Linked DNA regions of Oryctolagus cuniculus. The protein of the gene in region 3 interacts with the protein of the main gene of each other region in a pairwise test. Links are inferred from orthologs where the notes say so. Each region holds a gene or a part of one and is shown on either strand. Other genes may lie near its edges. The genes, in order: POLE3, NFYB and DRAP1.

Region 1 (8,367 bases), about 210 Mb from region 3:
GATTCCCGAGACAATAAGGCATGAGCCTTGCTGACGGCAGATGCTGATAATGGACGACGAGCAAGTCTCTTGGCCCGGAAGCAGGAGTCTGAGATGTTTACCACCGTGAGCATGGGGAGTTTATCTGAGAAAGCAGACCAGAAGGAAACATGTAACATGCTGCCTAGAGAAAGGAAGCCGAGCATACACAGCTTAAGGACCTTGTGAGGAAGAGTCTAGATGCTAAGTTACCTTCAGGATCCACAGAGGTTTGGCATGGTGAGCCCAGGATCCGAGGATGGCCCCTCTCAATCCGGCGGAAAGATGCCCAGCATTGCGGATGCTGACAGAGAGCTAAGTTGCAGGTGGTTTCATCCCACTGGGTCTCATCTGGCAAGTCCATAGCTGTAAAAGGTTTAGGACAACGGCCAGCCCTGCAGTGTTCTACCCCTCTGGGAAATCAACAAATAATAATTAGGGAATATTACACATAAACCATGCAGTATTTGGACTCAATGCACAAAATATTTCTACTGAACTTTCATTGGTAAATGGTCATTGGATAAGTAAAGGTTGGGAAATAAACAGGCATGAAAACATCTCAGAGCGACATAAGAGTTTGGGGACGGAGTTCAGAAGGTCTCCTCCTAATTGGTCATTCATTTAATATCTGAGTGGTCTGGGACTTTAATCTGAGCCTCAGTTTCCTCGTATGTAAAATGGGGATAAGCCTATTAAACAGACATTACCAAATTAGTTAATAAATATTAAAGGCTTGACATATAGGCTAAAATAAGCATTAGCATCATTTCCAGTTCTCCTTAGTCAATGATCAGGGAGAAGGTGCCATTATCTCCAAAAGCCTTAAATTAAAACCAATGTAGTCATACAATCACTTTAGATGACTCAAACCTTGGGAAGGCAGGCTTCCTTTTCCAGTATGAGGGTACTTCAAAATGTTCATGAAAAATGGCATTAAAAGAGACGTTCTTTAGTGCAAAATCATTTTGAAATCCATGCAGAGATTCTTCAAAGTTTTTATGAAAAATGAGAACTATGAAAAAACTACACATGGGTTTGAAAATATTTTGCTCCAAAATAAACCTATCTTTTAATTCCACATTTCTGCAGACTTACCCCCATGCTGATTCCCATGCAGGCAAAATCCCAGCAATGCATGGGTTTGAACACTCAAATAGCAAATCAGTAGACTTGTAGTTGCTTCGGAGGTCATTACTTTTTCATTTACTGGCTGTAAGCATAAGGTCTTAGGCAAGTGACTTCATCTTAGCCTGTTTCCTCACGTAACGTGTGTGGTTGGGGCAGGCGGCTGGCTGTGTGTGTGTGTGTGTGTGTGTGTGCGTGTGAACCCCTAAGCAGAACTGTGGAATCGTTAAATAAGATAATACACTTGAATTGCTGGTATTATGGGTGCTCAGAATCTTCTTCCCTCTGCAGACGTTTCAGGCAATCACTACCACTCCATCCCTAATGCTTTTTAAGGACAGTGTCCACTTCTTCTTTCTTTTATCCAACATGTTTATTGACTACCAAAGATATGAGAGGGCTCGTTTGGGGCACGGAGAACACTGATAAGCAAACCATGTTCTGAACACCTTGTCAGATCAAAGACAGCGAACTATTGGCCTTGGATTGTACCCAACCTGACCTGCTTAGTTTGGCAGGCACTTTGAGCCTACCAAAAATCGAAATAGTCCCTAATATCCAGATTTCTGGCTCCTCTTACAGATCAAAACATCTGACAACACTGGGCCCAATTCCAACTACACAGCAATTGGCTGAAGCGTTCCAGCTCCTGGCATCTCTACGCCCAGTCTGCCCTAGCCAAGTACAGTAGGACCCCCACGAGGTCCTGGTCTCTAGCTCAAGTTTGGTTGCCTTTTACCATGGCATGTGCTCTGCTGTTTTTCTAATAGGGAAGTATCTCGCTCTAATCATGTATCCATCAAAAGCAAGAAAAATTTGAGACAGCATGTTTCAAGGGGAAAAAAACAACTGGATTAGTTCTCAGTGGCAGTAAGAATTTCCACATACCTAATGTGAAAGGAATACAACTTGAAGTGCCACTGCAGGAGCCGCAGTGTCGTGGGGAAAGCCGCCACCTGCAGTGCCAGCATCCCATATGGGTACCGGTTCCAGTGCCGGCTGCTCCACTTCTGATCCCGCTCCCTGCTAATGTACCTGGGACAGCAGCTGAGGATGGCTCAAATGCTCGGGCCCCTGCACCCACGTAGGGGCTCCTGGCTTCATCCTGGCCCAGCTGGGCACAGCCATTTGAGGAGTGAATCAGCAGATGGGAGATCTCCTTCGCTTTCTCTTTTATATATATATATATATATGCACATATATATATATCAAATATCTAAATCTTAAGTAGTTGGGTCCTGGCCATCCACGTGGGAGACCTGGATTGAGTTCTAGGCTCCTGGCTTCCACCTGGCTCACCACCCATTGGCCAGCATCTGGGGACTGAACCTGATGTAAGATTCCTCTCTCTCTTCCCAAATAAAAAAGATTTGTTAATTACAGAAGAGGAAGAGGAAGAAGAAGAAACCCTTGGGTATGATTTTGCCTGGGAAAGGTGTACGACACACAATGTAATGAACTAAAACTAAACGCAATTTTAACAAGGCTGTTTTAAATGGGACGATGCAGTATTTTAAAAGCGGCTGCTCCCGCCCTTTCCTGCCCAGCCCGAAATGAACCTCTAAGTCTGGTCAGGCGCATCCCGCTGTGAACAAGAGCTCAAGGGAAAAAAAAGGTAACTCCCCAAAAAAGCCTAGCTAACACCTATCCTTGGTAAGGATTAGCACAGCGCCGTGAGGGGCGGAAAGATGGATGGACATCGGCAAGCGCTGGGCTGAAGAAAGATTCCCCGCTGCGTTCTGGAACAGGAAAAACACTGTGGCTGTCGGGAGGGAGCGGTTCCGCCTCGCAGGGTCCCGGCTCCTCGGGACCACGGCAAAGATGAAACCCCGAGGGTTCCCGAAATCCAGGGGCCCAACGCAGCCCCGCCCGGCGAGGAGCTCGGCGGTAATGGCTCACCAGGCCCCGCCTCTCGTCCGGAGGGGCCCCACCCAGCCGCCTCGGCTCCACGCCTCCGTCTCCCACGCGAGGCGCGAGGCCGCTCCGTCGCCAAGCAACGGCGCAGAGCACGATGGGGCTCGGACGGAAGCCTCCGTGGGCCATACTTAGTTCGAGGCGAAAGCTCTGGACGTAGCGGGAGCGTGAAGCAGAGACACTCTTCTGAGGAAGAACGTGCGGCGTACGGTGGGCGCTGACCGAAAGATCCAGCGAGCCAAAACCGCTACGAGCGCAAAAAGTTCGGGTGCAAAGCGTCTTGAGGTGGAGAGGCGGGGCTGGCGTAGGAGGAAGGCTGGGGGCGCGGGGCACTGTGGGACACGGTGCGGCCTACGTGAGGCGGAACGGAAGCCTCGGAGGGTCAGACAGCAGCGGCGCGGGAAGTCCGGACGCTGGAGGTACCTGGGGAGGAGGCCCTAGGCTCAGACTCAGGCCTCGACCGCGGCCATGGCAGAGAGGCCCGAGGACTTAAACCTGCCCAACGCCGTAATCACCAGGATCATCAAGGAGGCGGTGAGCAGCTCGGGCTGGCGATGGGCCGGGGGCGGACGAGCGGGCAGAAGGGAAGCAGGTCCTGGGCCGGCGGCTTTGCTCACTCCCGCCGTCATCACAGCTCCCGGAAGGTGTCAACATCTCCAAGGAGGCCCGGAGCGCCATCTCACGCGCCGCCAGCGTCTTCGTGCTGTACGCCACATCGTGGTGAGCAGGACAGAGCGAGCCGGCGTCCGGCTGGGTCTAAGGCCTGGAGGGTGGGGGGGAGGCACCGGGAACCGCTGCTGGCAGTTGTGGTCTGGGACCCATGTAAACCCCCCTCCCGGGTCTTCCCGGGTCTGTTCGAACAGCAGACTTAGGTACGGGCAAGGGCAGGGTTTACGCAGGTTACGCAAACATCTGTACGGCCAAGATGTGCCTGGGTTCTCCCTTCCCACCCCTGGGTGCCCCTTTTCGCGTCCTAAAGAGGGAAGGGGGCAGCCGTTTAGAGCCCTTTTTGCTTTGTTTCAGTGCCAACAACTTCGCGATGAAAGGGAAACGCAAGACCCTGAATGCCAGCGACGTGCTGTCCGCCATGGAGGAGATGGAGTTCCAGAGGTTCGTCGCCCCGCTGAAGGAGGCCCTGGAAGGTAACGACCCCCGCGTGGCTTCTCTTCTTCTTCACTTTATTTGGAAGGCAGAGAGAGAGAGATCGTTAAACACAGCGAGATCTTCCGCCCTCCGGTTCACTCCCCAAATGCCCAGGTTAGCTATGGCCGGGCCGGGCCGGGCCGGACCCCTGCCCTTCCTCTGGGTCTTCCACGTGGGGAGCAGGGCCCCAAGTATTTGCGCCATCCAAGGTGTTCCGGCAGGAGGCTGGCTCTAAAGTGGCGGAGCCAGGACTCAAACCAGGCACTCCCGTACAGGTATGGGATGCGTGCGTTCCGAGCTGCGCCTTAATCCCTGCCCCCAGTGCCTGCCCGTACCCTTCTGTTTCCCAAACCACATGGAAGACGGGTGACCTGTTGATGTGGCCCTGGGACTGTGAAAGAGTGGCCCAGAAAGCCAGTACCGGATGTGACCGGACGTAGTTCAGTGGCACCACCCGAGACCTCTCGGTGCTGCTCGCCAGGTCCTTTTCTGCTCGTGTCCCTTGGTTTTTCCAGCTGTCCAGTGATGCTGCCGGCTGCGGTCCCCGCTTGTCTCCCCCAGCCCTGTCTCCTAACCCCGCCCCTCTTCCTGCAGCCTATAGGCGGGAGCAGAGGGGCAAGAAGGAAGCTTCGGAACAGAAGAAGAAAGACAAAGACAAAAAGGCGGATTCGGAAGAGCCGGACAAGAGCAGGGACGAGGACAACGATGAAGATGAGGAGAGGCTGGAGGAAGAAGAGCAGAATGAAGAGGAGGAGATTGACAACTGAGTGCTGCGGGAGTCTGGACCTCGGGAGGCAGGTGGGCGGCGGGAGGCAGGCGGGCGGTGGCCGTGGGCTCCGTGTTTGTGCGCTGCTTTGCCCCGGGCTGGAGTGCTGGAGCAGATGCAGGCCGCCAGCCGAACCGGCGCTCCCGACGCCGCGCAGCCGCCTGGCACAGCCCTGTGCCGCTTCCTTGAGCGGGCGGTCGTCACTGAACAGCTCGCTCCGTTAGTCAGTGTGATCTCTCGTGTTGGCTTACATGTATGGCTGGGTAGGTTTTGACCCCCAGTCCTCCTACCCCTGAAGAGAGTCGTAATTCCCCTGCTGCCTGCTGTGTTCCAAGTCTCAGAGGCCATGAGGCTCCAGAAAGCTGGGCTTCCTTGCACACGATGTGGCCGTGGAAACCCGTGAAGTGGTCAGGCGGTTGGCTTTAGGACACTGCTAAGAGAACTGGAGGATTAAAGAAATCTGTTCTGTTGTCTCTCCCCTTGGCAGGAACATCCGTGGGAGTGGATTCTGTTAGACCCGCTCACCCTGGAGCTCATCTGTGTGCCTTAGGCAGCCTGCCTGGGGCGGGCCGGGCCGGGCGCCGCGCTCTGAGCTCACGCGCTCCGGATTGAACAGTGGAGACCACAGGCAGGCAGGCAGGGACGCCGGGGTCTTACGGAGCAGGCGCCTCACTGCCTTCGCCATGTGCACTTGAGAACCTGCTGGAGGCCAAGCCCGCCTCCCGGGCTGGGGCCTGAGCGTCCTCCTTCAGTTCACGGAGAGTTCCAGACCGTCTCCCCTCTAGGCACAGCTCTCCCTCCGCTCCTGTGGCTCTTCTCATTTCCACTTTCTCTCTCAGTCCTGCCAGTCTGGGAACTTTGACAGTCTGCTTAGTATTCCAAAGTGCAAGTCCTTCTGCTTTCTTAGTTCTAATCTCTCGGCTTTTAAAAAGAATGTCATACAAACCCTTTAGGGCAGTCAGATGGCGCTCAGGAATGTAATGGCTGGCCCACCAGCCGTGCCCCCGAGCTGCTTCTAAAGCACCCCTGTTGGCCTCTCTGAGCCTTTCTCTCTTTTGGGTCAGTGCTACAAGCACTGTTCTGTTTGCAGGTTGAGCGCTTGGGTTTGACAGGTAGGGAAGTGTAGTCTGACACTGTCAACTTGTTAAATGAACACAGGGAGGCGTTCAATGAGTGATGGCTGTTGAGAAGATTGTAATGCTTTGTACGAATAAAGAACGTTCTTGTTAGAAGAGATGACGCCTGCGTGTTCCCCGTGTGCTTTTGGAGAGGAGCCACTGATCAAGTCCCCATACAGTGTCTGGGGTGTGATCCCCGGGCCAGATCTTGGAAACACGGGAGCCTGCATCACCGCTGGCGGCCAGCAGATGCCGCTCGCTCACAGGCAAGGGTGCTGCTGCTCAGCTGGCGCGAGCCTGATCATGGCTGGCACCTTAGAAAGCCAGCGACGCCACTTCCTGAGCTCCCACTGCGTCTGGCGCTGTTCCGAATGCCTGCCAAAACTACCTCTTAGACCCTGGGAAGCAGCCCTGCTGTCACCCTCATTACCTTTTAACCACACTGCTCCTAACCGCACTCTAACCTACGCAGTCTTTTCAAATCATAAAAAGTTCATGCATATCGGGGCTGGCATTGTAGCTTCGTGGGTAGAGCCACCACCTGCCTTGCCAGCATCCCATGTGGGCCCTGGTTTGAGACACAGCTGCTCCACTTCCGATCCAGCTCCCTGCTAATGGCCTAGGAAGGCAGCAGTAGATGGCACAGGTGCTTGGGCCCCTGCCACCAATGTGGGAGGCCTGGAAGAAGCTCCTGGCTCCTGGCTTTGGCTTGGCCCAGCCCTGGCTGTTGCAGCCATGTAGGGTGTGAGCCAGAGGTTGCAAGATCACTCTCTGTCCCTAACTCTTTCAAATAAATATTTTTTTGAAGAACTGTATGCAGGTTTTCACGGTCAGTTGATCCAATGGGTTTTTCCCTGTCCACAGCAGAAACATCCTTTCATAATTCCCATGAGCACCGCTGTAGGCTAAGCCAAGTCCCATCTGGACTCCTGTGGCTTCCTTTGAGCTGAGTTTCCTGCCTCATCTCTGCTTCCCCTCTGTACTAGCCAAGTGAACCTTCTGGAACATGGCTGCGTTACAGTCCTCCCCCCAACCCTGCTTCCTGTCAAACAAACCAGTTACACAAGCCCTGCGTAAGGACAGCTCGTTCCATCTATTCTGCTACTCCATCATAAGACTGCACCTGTCAGGAGTGAATCCCAAAAGAACTGCATTATAACTCCATCCATCCTGCCCCTCCTCACCAATCTTACACCAAAAAAAAAAATTTTTTTCCTTAGAAATATTTGGCTTAAAACTACAGGTTTTTGGTTTTTTGTTTTTAGATTGATTGATTTATGTGAGAGGCAGAGTTGCAGAGAGCCAGGTCTTGTATCTGCTGGTTCACTCCCCAGACCTCTCACTGACGGGTGAAAGGCTCTTTGGAGCGAGGGGACCTGCCCAAGATCGCACCAATGTACAAGAATGGGGATCCTGTTGGGGTCCCGGTGGCCTTCAGCTGTGCTTCTGTTTTATTTTAACAAACAAACTTTGGAACAGTCTTACAGAAAAGTTTCACAGAATTGCAGGAATCTCATACTCTTCACTCAACTTTCCCTGTGTTCACGTACTGCATAAACCATGGTGCCTTTGTCAAAACTAAGAAACGTGTAATATAGACGGAAAGCGGGAGCTGGGGGTGTGTCTTTCATCCTGTGATTCACTCCCCAAATGGCCACAATGGCAGGAGCTGGGCCAGTCTGAAGCCAGGAGCTTCTTCCGAGTCTCCCATGTGGTTGCAGGGCTCAGACACTTGGGCCATCTTCCCATCTTTCCCAGGCCACAAGCAGAGAGCTAGACTTGAGCAGTGCCCATATGGGATACCAGAACACAGGCGGAGGCTTAATCTATACTATAGCACTGGCCTTGCACCTGTTTTACTACTAACAAACTTTCTATAAAAATGTCCGAACAAAAATTGGAAGTGAGCTCACTTTTTAAGCCTAAGATGAAGAACAGGCACATGTAGCAACAAGTTATATAGCTGCTTGGGGCATATGGGGAGTGAACCAGCAGACAGAAAGATCTTTCTCTGCGTCACTCTGCCTTTTGAAATAAATATTTTTAAAAAATAAAGTTATGATGAAATTCATGGAACAAAAACCATTTTTTTTTTTAAGTTTCTTTATTTCAAAGGCAGAATGACAAAGACAGAGGTTACATCCACTGGTTCACTCCCCAAATGTCTGCAACAGCCAGGACTGGGTCAGCTGAAGCCAGGAACACAGAACTCCATCTGGGTTCTCATGTGGGTAGCAGGGATCAAGTACTTGAGCCATCATCTGCTACCCCCAGGCTCAT
Region 2 (4,270 bases), on a different chromosome or scaffold from region 3:
TGCCTGAAACATGCAGAATGTTGATTTCCTTTCTTGTGTATGAAGGCCACATAACTCAGCGTTGACATGACTGTACCTAAAGTTTGGAAGTTTGTTTTGGAATATACCAATTTTAAGCTGTGAAATTCCTTTCTTATCTTGATTCTTTACTCAAACTTATTCCAATCTTTAGAGTAATTTTAGAGAATGAATCTGATAACCAAAGACCAAGTGCTTTTATCAGTTATATAGTGATATACTGCCTGAATCAAATGGAAGACATTTTTAAAATACATCCATTTGTAAGTATCAAAAGCCTTAAAATTATGCATGTCTGGTAAGCCAACAATTCTGAGAATTCATTTTAAGAAAACAGTCATGGATATACACATGATTCAGTGAACTGCTGTTTATAACTGAAAAGATGTAAATAGTCAAAATGTCCAGTGGAGGAGTAAATAAATTATGATTCATTCATACAATAGAATAATAAACCAATAAAAATGATGCAGAAGACTGCATAACCTGGCAAAGACATTCACAATATATTGTTAAGTGAAAAAAGCAGGTTACAAAACAGTATGCACAATGAACCCATTTTTATAAAAATATACATATTTTGCAAAGTAAAAGGACAAATGATATTTATCAAAATATTAACATTGGTTATTTCAACATAGTAGGAGGCTAGTTGATTCTGCGTAACTACCATCCCTTTTTTTCCTATTTGAAGTTTCTATCATGAAGATTATTTTTAAACAAGGGGGTAGGAGGAAGGGAATTATTACCTAGAGTAGCCAAAATGTGCCCTTACAGGCTCCTGGCAGTCAGTGGGAGACTGCCTCTGCCTTATACATCTGAATGTCCTTCATCACAGACGGCATTCACTCAGACTGCCTTTTAGGCAAAATATACAACAGCAATTTGTGATATTAAAATAAAAAAAATCTACTTCAAGTTAATTATCACCAAAAAGAATAAATGAGAAAATACAAATCCTTACTTTAAAAAAGGAACAACTCAAGTACATACTACTAAATTATACAAAGTTACATTATCTAAGTTTAGTTTATTGCAAAGATCAAGACAGCACACTAGAAGTCATGGCTTCTATTTCACACTGCTCATAGCACTCACTCTGTTCTCATTCTCATTCACTCACCGTGCAAAAGGTCTGTACACATAATGACAGCCAATATTTCTTGGTTCCTATAGTGTAATAGGAAACTTGACATTTCAATAAAAAAAGGTAAGATGAGGACATTTACCATCAGACTATAAAATTCCCCTTCTGGAAGAGGACACTATAATACTTGAAGATATGCTTTGAAAAAAATCATATCAAATAAAAGGGGCACCATTTTAAGGGCTCTAGAACTATGTTAAACTTAAATGAATTCTAACACTCATAATAATGTAACTCAAAAATAAATCTAGTCTTAATGAAAGCTCTAATAAGTAAAACTACATTAACAGGCACAATGAACAGTGTAAACACTGTTAATGGGCACCAAGTTTAACAGGGCAGACAATAATTTCTTCTGCATTCACAATTACTCAGTTATATTTTTTAAAATGGTGCTGCTTTGAATGTTTTACCAAAAAAATCAATTTTAATAAAATATGGCAAATGTAAAAATCTAGCTAGGTTACCATGCAAGATAGTATATATAGCCAAGACAAACTCAAATTTATAATAAAGGCAACTTGCATTCAAATGAACTCTACCCTTATATTTTATTAAAAGGGCAAACATCATGAATTAACCCAGCTGCTTATTTGAATTACAAAAGTAACATGATTCAATATGAAAATAAGAAACTGTCTACAAATCTCTGACAGTAATAAATTGCAATATACAATGCATACAGGAGTCATACAGAGCAACAAACTCTCGTACAAAACAAAAATATTTTAATACCTTTAAAATCCAAATTTTTCTTTAAAATCATTCATGAAAAAGATTCTCAAGTCAGAATTAACACCTCAATTAGTCAAGCATCAGGAAGCTACATTACAGCTATTTAATGTACAAAGAGACATTTTTTCACCAGTCATTTTCTTCTGATGTCTCTGTTCCAGAATCACAGACTCTTGCTTCTCTACACTTCCATCCCATAATTTCTTCAGATCATGAAAACTGAATTTGTTGAACACCAGAAATCTAAGATTACAAAAATTTGAGTAGAATTAGGAAAAAAATAGTTTATAAGTAACATGCATATCATAAACAGTGACTAAAAACAACAGATAATGAAAAATCTGCTTCCTTCTATTTTAATCATTTCTGGTATTTTCCTACAAATTGTCTATGTAAATATAAACATGTCTATATGTATTTTTAACCAGTTATAGAATATTATAGCTAATTTTGTATACTTTGAGAAAACAAAATTTTTAGTAACTTTTATTTCATTACTAATATATTAAAATTACCTGTGTTAAAAATAAATATAATCAACTTTTAAAGTAACTTAAATACAAAGAAGGTACTGTACCTGTTGATATGATGTTGTATAAACCATAACATTTTGTTGTTGACCATCTGCAGTTATTAAGCCAGCTGGTAATTGGTTAGCTAAGACAAAAAAAAAAAGTTAGAGGAAAAAAAATCCCATCTACTTTCTCAGACTGAACCTTAAGGTTATGCCATTGATGTCTCCTTGCAATCTGGCCTCTTATTTAATGTGGGTAAAATCATAAACCTAACATTTTTCCATTCTAAAATGTTCCCTAATATGCTAAAGCACATTTTTTTCTATTGTATTTTTCAATTTTCTGAATCCTCGCCCATTGTACCAATCTCAGAAACATGGGAAGGAGTGTCTGATTCATGTGAGGCCTACACCACACAGTGAGGGTGAGCTGGGCGCTGACTTAAACACATACATACATATGTGACTTATGAGAAATATGTTTACCACATACCTTTCATTTCACCAATGACAATGATAGCCAATTTTTAAATAAGAGGCCTTAGCTCAAACTTATTTAAACCACAAGATTTTGTATAACAAACTATGATTCTCATTATTTCTATTTCACATGACTTTTAACCAAAAACTAGGAGCTATGGAAAATCAGTAAAAGATTATAATGTGTGTAGAATTAAAATTTTCTACACTTATTATCTACTGATTTCAAATACATGAGTATGAACTAATAAGTATTCAAAATAGTACAATGTCAAAATACTCAGTGCAGCTAGTCCAAAAATAACACCTCCAACATTTCGTATGAATCACTGCTGACAATCTGCAAGACTTGTATCATAACACTGCTTACTGAATGCCTCCTCTGTAAGCTCTTCACTTAGTCCATCTGTAGCTGTGACTGCTCCACCAATTCCTTTCTCTCCTTTCATAGCCTGGGGAAGGAAAATGAAAAACAAAAACAAAAATTTAAAAGGTAGTCACTGGTAGTCAAATCAAAGTTTCCAAAATGAGACTGCTTATTTACTGCCTAAAATTAGGAGCTTCTATTATTACAAACACTAAACAGTATTTATTACCACTTCCAGGTAATTACATGAGGAAGCCCTTAAAATACCTTTTATATTAGCAGTAATCATTATAACACAGTGTCAGTAATGACCTAGAAAACCTTAAGGATTTATGGATAAAAATAAATTATTCTAATTCCAAACCACATTAAAGGAATACAGAATAATATATTTTATTTATTTACTTATTTTTATTTAAAGATTTATTTATTTATTTGAAAAGCAGAGTTACAAGGGAGAGCTAGAGAGAGACGGTGATATTCCATCAACTGGTTCACTCCCCAAATAGCTGCAATGGATGGAGCTGAGCCAATCCGAGGCCAGAGGATTCCCCATGTGGGTACAGGGGCCCAAACACTTGGGCCATCCTCTGCTGCCCGCTGGGGCACACCAGCAGGGAGCTGGATCGGAAGTGGAACAGCCAGAGCTCAAACTGGTGTCCACATGGGTGGCTGGCATCACATGCCACAGTGCCAGGCCCAGAGTAATACATTTTAAAAGTTTAAATAAATAATGAATCTTGTATTGTTCAAAGCCAACAAAGGACATCTTACTTACCTCTCTGAATTTCTGAAGGTACAATTTCAGAGGTTCCACATAACTGTCAAAGCCCAAGGTGGACATGGCAAAGAGAATGTCTTCTCCATTGATTGTCTTCCGTTTTTCTTGATGGCACCTTTCACTTGCTTCAGATGTTATAAAGCTAATGAACTCACTCACACATTCTTGAACACATTCTTTGGCATCTTTTGCAATCTGAAGAGAAAAAAAAACATAAGAAAATCTGTA
Region 3 (7,971 bases):
GCGCCGCGGCTCACTAGGCTAATCCTCCGCCTAGCGGCGCCGGCACACCGGGTTCTAGTCCCGGTCGGGGCGCCGGATTCTGTCCCGGTTGCCCCTCTTCCAGGCCAGCTCTCTGCTGTGGCCAGGGAGTGCAGTGGAGGATGGCCCAGGTGCTTGGGCCCTGCACCCCATGGGAGACCAGGATAAGTACCTGGCTCCTGCCATCGGATCAGCGCGGTGCGCAGACCGCAGCGCGCCGGCCGTGGCAGCCATTGGAGGGTGAACCAACGGCAAAGGAAGACCTTTCTCTCTGTCTCCCTCTCTCACTGTCCACTCTGCCTGTCAAAAAAAAAAAAAAAAGAAAAGAAAGGTCTTCCTTTGCCGTTGGTTCACCCTCCAATGGCCACCGCGGCCGGCGCACTGCGCTGATCCGATGGCAGGAGCCAGGAGCCAGGTGCTTTTCCTGGTCTCCCGGGAAGACCTCTTGCTCTGTGTCTCTACCTCTCTCTGTAAATCTGTTTTCCAAATAAATAAAATAAATCTTTACCAACAACAACAAAAAAGAACCTAGACCCTGAAGTCCCCTTGGAGAAGTGATCCCAGCTGATCAGATGAACCTCCTGGGACCAGATACAAGCTTGCACTTGAACCTGATATTTGTTCTATCAGCAAGCTACGCCCCCTACAGGTGTACCCAGCCTGCTCTCCCACAGGGCCGTCTGTATATGATGAAGGTAGGTAGCAACTGGCTCCATTTGTGGCAGTCAGAAGCCACGGCACCTAAGGTTGCTGAGTGGAAGAGCCAGGATTTGAACCCAGGGCCTAGTTCTAGCCGTTCCAGTCTGACACACTCTGTCTAAGGCCAGCTGCTCCCCGCAGCCACTGTTTCTTCTCCCTGGGCCTTTGCCTGATGCCAGCCCCTGGCCTTCCCCCACCACCTGAGACCCGCCTGGTGCAAGTCCCCACTGCGCGGCCCAGCAACAGGCCCCCTCCCCGCCCGGGGTCTCCTCTCCCAACCCTGACCTCATGCACACTAGGCAAGATTTCCTCCCTGGAGACACAAGGACCCCTCCACCCCCTGGTGCTAAAGAACTCTGCTCCCAGGGCTGGGGGGGGGGGGTCCTGGGGTTCACGGGGCCTCTTTCCCTTAAGAGCGACAGACACCCAACGGCTCAGGGGGCTAAGAAGCCCAGGGTGCGCGCACGGCCCACACTGGATGCAGGTACTAATGCCTCGTCTCTGCGCCCTGAGCTGGCTTCGTCTGCAGGTAGGATCGCCCCCTTGGGCCGGTGGGCGGCTTCCAGCAGCTTCTGGCCCATGTTGTGCCGGACTGGCCGCCACTCATCCTTGCCAGGGGTCTTGTCAAAACCCTTCCCCAGGGGCCGGTGTGGCACAGTGGGTTAAGCCGCCACCTGTGACATGGGTGCGCCCCATCAGAACGCTCCAAGTCCCTGTTAACACGCCTGGGAAAGCAGCAGAGGGTGGCTCAAGGGCTTGGGCCCCTGGATTCACATGGAGAACCCGGATGGAGTTCCTGGCCCACCCCCAGCCACTGTGGCCATCTGGGGAGTGAACCAAATAATCCTTAAACAAAAAAAACAACCACCACCCTTCCCCGAGGGCCCCGCCCAAGGCCCCCCAGGCAAGATCCCCGCGGCAGGGATGCTATGATTGGCCAGGCTGAGGACCTGGAGTGGGGGCAGCTGTACACGCTGCAGGCTGGGGGAGGAGGCAAGAGGGCGCCTGGGAAGGACACAGGGACACCAGCAAGTGCCACCGCCGGCCGCTCCACCGCTCACCGTCCACCCTCCCGCTGCCTTAGACCATCTGCTCCCCCGGCCCTCAGCGTCACCCCAGATAACTCATCACCTCCGCCTCCTACGGAAGCCACTCCCTGTCTCTCCTTCCTCATGACCCACTCCACTCCCTCCGGCCCTCTCTCTCTCTCTAGAAGCCTGCATTTCTGTTGTCTTAAAAAACAAAACCCTGCAGGCCAGCGCCGTGGCGCAGGGGGTTAGGCTGCCCCTGTAACACCAGCTGTAGCTCCTGCCCCGGCCGCTCCACTTCTGATCCAGCTCCCCGCTAACGCACCTGGGAAAGCAATGGAGGATGGCCCGGGCGCTTGGTCCAGGTGGAGCTCCTGGCTCCTGCTGCAGCCTGGCCCAGTCCTGGGCTATTCGGGAGTGAACCAGCAGATGGCAGACCCTTCTCTGTCTTTCCCTCTCTGTAACTCTGCCTTTCAAACAAACAAGTCTTTAAAAACAAACACCCGTGCTGCTTCTGTTCACCTGGGAGCTTCCGCCTGCCCCGTCCACGAGCCCAGGCCTGGAGCACGGAGCACCTCTGCTCCCAGCCACCACCTCCTTGTTGGCGTCCAAGCATCTGACAGCTGGCCTCTCCTTCCCGGCACAACCGGGTGGCCTGGCCTGGCCTGGCCGCTCTGTCTCCTTCGGTCACCTGCCCCGGACTCACACACCCGCCCTCCGCACCCCCACAGCCCATCGAGCAGGGCGAGGCCGCTGGCGGCAGCAGAGCCACTGCGAAGGGACGGGGGGTGTCCTGAACACAGCCCCTCCCGCGGTCAAGCCGCCATCGTTCTCCCCAGGCTCCAAACGCCTCCCTGGAAGGCGGTGATCCTGTCCAGACCAGACGGACCCACAGCCTGGCGGCTCCAGCCTTTTAGGACAAAAATGCTCCAGGAGGCCTGGGCGAGCCACTCCTACCTGCCACTCCCCACAGCCTCCACGCCGGCCCTGTGGGCACCACAGCTCCCTGCCTGCTCAGACATACCCGTGGACGGACAGAGGACGTCACCGTCCCACCCAGGAGCTGCCTTCCAGGCCCTCCACCGCCTCGCACACCTCCCCTCCCTTGTGCTGGGTCCTACACGGCAGCCCAGAGAGGGCAGAAGCACGCCCAGGGCCACACAGCACGAGAGGCCCCAGACCTCGCCGGGCGGCCTCCCTCCAGCTCCCCAGACTGGACCTCTGCCACTCACTGCCTGGCCCGCTGCTGCCCCCGCCACAGCCCAGGGGAAGAGAGGTGGGGGCGGGCGGGCAGACAGCCACGAGCCCCAGACAGAGGCTGCCACCGACACAGACAGTCCTTTTGTTATTTTTTTTTTTAATAAATTTAAGAACAGCTCCACCTTGTCCCTCCCCCCAAAGCAACTAAAACCAAGTAAAAGGGGAGGCCGGCCTGGGGCAGAGGGCGCTAGGAGTCGTAGTCCTCTTCATCTTCCGCGCCAGGCGCCGAGGGGCCAGGGGGCACTGCGGGCACAGCCGGCAAGCGCAGAGCCGAGGCGAAGGGCGTGAAGGGAGCTGGGGGGCTGCGGGAGGAAGCGGGGTAGACAAGCCCGGCTCAGGCCCCTGCCCACCACCCCCTGCACCAATGGCGGCCAAGCCCCAGGGAAAGGGGCGGGCCCAGAGCTGCCCAGGCTCCGCCCACCACCCCTGGTCAGCTTGGGGTCCCTGGCCTTGAAGCCCACGGTCACTGTGCTCCCACCCCCCACATTCGCCACAGCCAGCCCAGGGGACCCGCGCGCCTCCTCCGGTGCCCCGGGCTGCTTACCTCTGGAAGTGGGCAGGGGGGTGGCTGGCCTGGGGAGGGGGCAGCGGGGTCTCCTCTTCCCCGTCAGTATCTGTGTCCTCAGATTCATCCTGCGGGGGTTAGGGGGTGACCAGCAAAGGCATGGACGGGCCATGGGTCACTGGGGAGCTGTGACCCCGGGAGTGGCCGCGGGTCACTGGGGAGCTGAGACCCGGGAATGGCCGTGGTCACTGGGGAGCTGAGACCCGGGAATGGCCGTGGTCACTGGGGAGCTGAGACCCGGGTCACTGGGGAGCTGAGACCCGGAGTGGCCGCGGTCACTGGGGAGCTGAGACCCGGGAATGGCCGTGGTCACTGGGGAGCTGAGACCCGGGTCACTGGGGAGCTGAGACCCGGGAGTGGCCGCAGTCACTGGGGAGCTGAGGCCCGGGAGTGGCCGCGGGGAAGGACGGGACCAGGGCAGGGCAGAGGCCGGGGCCCGCGCTCACCTCCTGCTCCGAGTCTGTGCCCGACAGCTTCTTGTCTTTGCCTTTGCTCCCCACGCCTCCGTTCTTGCGGCCGCCGCTGCCCGGCTTCCGGCCCCTTGGGGGAGGCACGGTCCGTGTGCCCAGAGGTCCCCCGCCGCCGCCCGCCGCCGCCCGCCGCCGCCCGCCCCCGCGGCCCCGGCCCGCACCTGCGAGGCGCCTTGTCCGCATCCATGTGGTTGTCGTCCCCGTCGCCCTGCATGTCGGGGACCGACGCCACCAGGTCCTTGAGGAAGTCAAACTGTTGCTCCTGCTCGATGCACTGCTTCCTGCGGGAGGCGGCGGACCGGGGGTGACGCCGCGGCCGGGCCGCCCCCCGCAGCCGCCCGCCGCCCTCCCCCGGCGCCGGGGCCACGCACAGGTGCGACGTGGTCATGGTCTTGGCGTTGCGGGACTGGGTCACCTGGCACGCTTTCTTCAACAGCGACTCGAGGAACAGCTCGAGCGCCCGGGCTGGGGGGCGTCAAGGAGCACGCGGGCGCCGGGCGGCCGCCCCCCGCCCGCACACGCCCCCCGCCCGGCGCCCCCAAGGATACAGATGATGACCGGCACGGCCGCCGCCACCTTCCCGATCTCCTCGTCCGTCTGCATGATCTTCTTGATGCGCGCCTGCGGGGCGGACAGCGCTCGGACCCCCTCCGCCCGCTGCGGCGGGTGGGGGTCCCGGGAGAAAGGGGGCGGGGCGCCAAGCCCCCACCACCACCACGAGCACCGCGATGCGCCCGCCCCCCACACCCCCGCGGCGGGGCCCGGACCCTGAGCCTCCGCCGCGCCGGGCCCCGCCACGTGCTCACCGGCGGGAACCGCGCGTTGTACTTCTTCTTCTTGCTCGGCATCTCCGGGCCTCTCTCGCCGCGCCGGGCCCCGCGCCGCCGCCCGCAGCCTCCGGGCGCCCGGGCCTGCTCGCCGCCGGCCCGCCGCGGTTCCCCCGGGTCCTGGCGCCGCCGCTCCCCGGCAGGGTCCTAGCGCCGCCCGCTCAACGCCGCTCGCTGCGCCCAAGCGCCCGCCCCCCTGGCGTCTCCCAGGCGTCTCCCGTCTCCGCCGCTCCCGCCCGCCCCAAGGCCCCAGCTGCGAACGTTAGCCCCGCCCCCGCAGGCCCGCCCCGCCCCGGGGTCGGCCCCGCCCCCGCAGCGCCGGCCCCGCCCCGCAGCGCGGCGGATGCGGCGCGGCGGCCCCGCCCCTGTGGCCGCGCTTGTCTATAAAGTTGTTGTTGAGACGGCGGGGCGCTAAGATGGCGGCGGCGGCGGCCGTGGCGGGGGCGGGGCGCGGCGGCGGCGCGGAGCCCCGGCAGGAGCGGAACCGGACCCGGAGCTGGGCCGGCGCGGAACGCAGCGAAGGCCGGAGGTGACTGCGGGGCGGCGAGCGGGGCGGGCCCGGGGCAGAGCCCCGACTCGGGCGGTGGGCGCGTCGGCCCCTCCGGCTGGCCGGACAGGCCCGGGTTCGAGTCCTAGCACTGCCCCGTTCGTCTCCGACCGGTCACTGCCGTCTGGGGGCCTCGAGGTCCTCGCCTCGAAGTGGGCCCGGTAACGCCCCCAGGGAGGCCCGGCCTTCCAGGGCCCGCCGCGGGGGCTGCGTGAACCTCCTCTTCCCTGCCTCTCCCTCCACGCCCGGCCCCGCTGGCCGGGGGTAGCTGAGGCCGGAGCTCCCGCACCTGCGTTCCTGCGTGGGCCCTGCCCCTTGCCCTGCAACCGGTGTGCTGCGGGAGCGCCAAGGGGAGTAGTAGCGCCCCCGGCACCGAGGCTCAGGTAGGCGTTCTCCACCTGGGGCATCTGATTGTCCCAGCAGAGCCAGCAGCTGTCCCATTGTAGAGACGAGGCAACCGAGGCCGGCCACACGGTTTAGCGCGGCGCTGCTCTGACGGGGTTCCCTCCCGGCAGGATGGAGCCAGGTGAGGAGCTGGAGGAGGAGGACTCTCCCGGCGGCCGGGAGGACGGCTTCACCGCGGAGCACCTGGCTGCTGAGGCCATGGCCGCCGACATGGACCCCTGGCTGGTGTTCGATGCCCGCACCGCGCCTGCGGCCGAGCTGGATGCCTGGCTGGCCAAGTACCCGCCGTCGCAAGTCACCCGCTACGGGGACCCCGGGTCGCCCAACGCCGAGCCCGTGGGCTGGATCGCCGTGTACGGGCAGGGCTACACCCCCAACTCCGGCGACGTGCAGGGGCTGCAGGCGGCCTGGGAGGCTCTGCAGAGCAGCGGCCGGCCTGTCACGCCGGGCACCCTGCGCCAGCTCGCCATCGCCCACCGCGTGCTGTCGGGGAAGTGGCTGATGCACCTGAGCCCTGGCTTCAAGCTGGACCACGCCTGGGCCGGCGTCGCCCGGGCCGTCGTGGAGGGCCGGCTGCAGGTGGCGAAGGTGAGCCCGCGCGCCAAGGAGGGGGGGCGCCAGGTGATCTGCGTCTACACGGACGACTTCACGGACCGCTTGGGCGTCCTGGAGGCGGATTCGGCCATCCGCGCGGCGGGCATCAAGTGCCTGCTCACCTACAAGCCCGATGTGTACACCTACCTGGGCATCTACCGCGCCAACCGCTGGCACCTGTGCCCCACGCTCTACGAGAGCCGCTTCCAGCTCGGGGGCGGGGCCCGCGGCTCCCGCGTGCTGGACCGCGCCAACAACGTGGAGCTGACCTAGCGGGGTGACCACGCCCTGGCCTCCCCCGCCCGGGCGGCCCGGCCTCGTCCTCCTTGTCCCGAGAAAGCCACGCCCCCAGCTCTGAGGACAAGGTCGCCCAACAACCGCCTGCATCTCCGGTCCCCTTGGACTTGTGCCCTGGCTGCCGCCGGCCCCCAGGGGGCGGGCCTGGGCCTCCCTCTTCCTCGCAGCTCCGCCCTGCAGCCCAGGGCCACGGGGTGGGTGCAGACACCCAAGAAGAGAGCCCCGCCGCACCTCCCCTCCGCCTGCACTCGCCAGCTCTCCTTCCCCCCTCTCACGGGGAACACAGTGCTTCCAGTCCCGCCCCGTGGAGCCTCTAGTGCGGGGGCCAGGGCCCGCAGGCGTGAGCGTGCCATTTAGCCAGGAGGGTCCTTGCGCCCACATCCCCGGGCAGAGAGGGGATGTGCACCACGGACACGGCCCGCCCCCTCTGCCACCTCCCTCTCTTCCCAGCTACCAGACACGTGCCTGCTCCTGGCATCTCAATAAAACCCAGCCTGGGTCTGTGTCCTGAGTGTTTTTCCAAAACCTGGGTGGTTACCTGCTGTGGTTGCTGGGAGCGGCGGGGCCAGGACACACACACCCCCCACCCGCACATACCCAGCTGGCCGCCTTCCCGCCCGCCCCCTCCTGCACCCCGTTGACGCGGTAGGCCTTGGTGCCGGGCCCTGGCTCCCCCGGGAGCCCCAGCGGAGCAGAACCGCAGAACCAGTCCCTCGGTGGCTTCCAGTAAGCCAGCGCGCCGTGCTTCCGGCAGGTCTGAGCAGCCTCGCCCAGCCCCGGCTGCTGTTGTGTGTGGCACCTGGTGGTGGCAGTCCTGGCCGGAGCAGGGCGTGGGCTGGGTTCCAGCGCCTACACTGGGCACCTGGGCAGCCAGCGATGTGGGAGCCCGGGCCGCCGCAGAGCGATTCCGGCCCCTCGCGGGGAGATGTGGACTCTCTTGTGGTCAGGGGAGCTGAGCCAGGAGGGGAACGCCTCTTCGGCGCTGGGACTTGTGTCCGGCAGAGCGAGAGCGAGGCCCTGACCCCGCTGAGTGCCCCCACGAGGTGAGCCCCTCAGCCACCGTGCATCCGCTCCCGTGGCCCGCCTAGCCCTGCCTGCTGAGCTGCGACGAGCTGGGAGCACTCTCCACGCTGCAGCCCCGCCTCGGCGGGGGCCAGGAGCCCCTTGGGACACTGTGCCAGAGCTGACTCAGCCTCCCGCCGCCTCAGCAAGCTGGAATTTGGAGCAGAGGCGCGGAGATGCCACTGGGCTGACTGGATGG

Evidence for each region.
Region 1: the proteins of DRAP1 (region 3) and POLE3 interact in binary tests that used the Homo sapiens proteins (3 or more experiments, as listed by UniProt). The two-hybrid records come from large-scale screens. The link is inferred for Oryctolagus cuniculus from reciprocal best matches to the Homo sapiens genes DRAP1 and POLE3.
Region 2: the proteins of DRAP1 (region 3) and NFYB interact in binary tests that used the Homo sapiens proteins (3 or more experiments, as listed by UniProt). The two-hybrid records come from large-scale screens. The link is inferred for Oryctolagus cuniculus from reciprocal best matches to the Homo sapiens genes DRAP1 and NFYB.

The regions. Positions count from the first base shown.
Region 1 is NC_091432.1:216,996,459-217,004,825, reverse strand, and holds POLE3 (DNA polymerase epsilon subunit 3), read left to right. Parts: upstream 1-3,453; 5' UTR 3,454-3,528; coding exon 3,529-3,594; intron 3,595-3,694; coding exon 3,695-3,780; intron 3,781-4,083; coding exon 4,084-4,202; intron 4,203-4,797; coding exon 4,798-4,970; 3' UTR 4,971-5,001; exon of another isoform or gene 5,002-5,456; 3' UTR 5,457-6,205; downstream 6,206-8,367. Other genes in the region: C1H9orf43 (uncharacterized protein C9orf43 homolog), read right to left, coding at 1-124, 232-431, 2,035-2,117. UniProt on the Homo sapiens protein: Accessory component of the DNA polymerase epsilon complex. Participates in DNA repair and in chromosomal DNA replication.
Region 2 is NC_091442.1:106,943,878-106,948,147, forward strand, and holds the end of NFYB (nuclear transcription factor Y subunit beta), read right to left. Parts: intron 4,238-4,270; coding exon 4,040-4,237; intron 3,347-4,039; coding exon 3,265-3,346; intron 2,558-3,264; coding exon 2,478-2,557; intron 2,144-2,477; coding exon 2,111-2,143; 3' UTR 501-2,110; downstream 1-500. UniProt on the Homo sapiens protein: Component of the sequence-specific heterotrimeric transcription factor (NF-Y) which specifically recognizes a 5'-CCAAT-3' box motif found in the promoters of its target genes.
Region 3 is NC_091432.1:5,852,270-5,860,240, forward strand, and holds DRAP1 (dr1-associated corepressor), read right to left. Parts: upstream 5,102-7,971; 5' UTR 4,889-5,101; coding exon 4,847-4,888; intron 4,662-4,846; coding exon 4,589-4,661; intron 4,506-4,588; coding exon 4,412-4,505; intron 4,322-4,411; coding exon 4,202-4,321; intron 4,111-4,201; coding exon 4,017-4,110; intron 3,639-4,016; coding exon 3,550-3,638; intron 3,308-3,549; coding exon 3,193-3,307; 3' UTR 3,083-3,192; downstream 1-3,082. Other genes in the region: C1H11orf68 (UPF0696 protein C11orf68 homolog), read left to right, coding at 5,284-5,396, 5,930-6,686. UniProt on the Homo sapiens protein: The association of the DR1/DRAP1 heterodimer with TBP results in a functional repression of both activated and basal transcription of class II genes.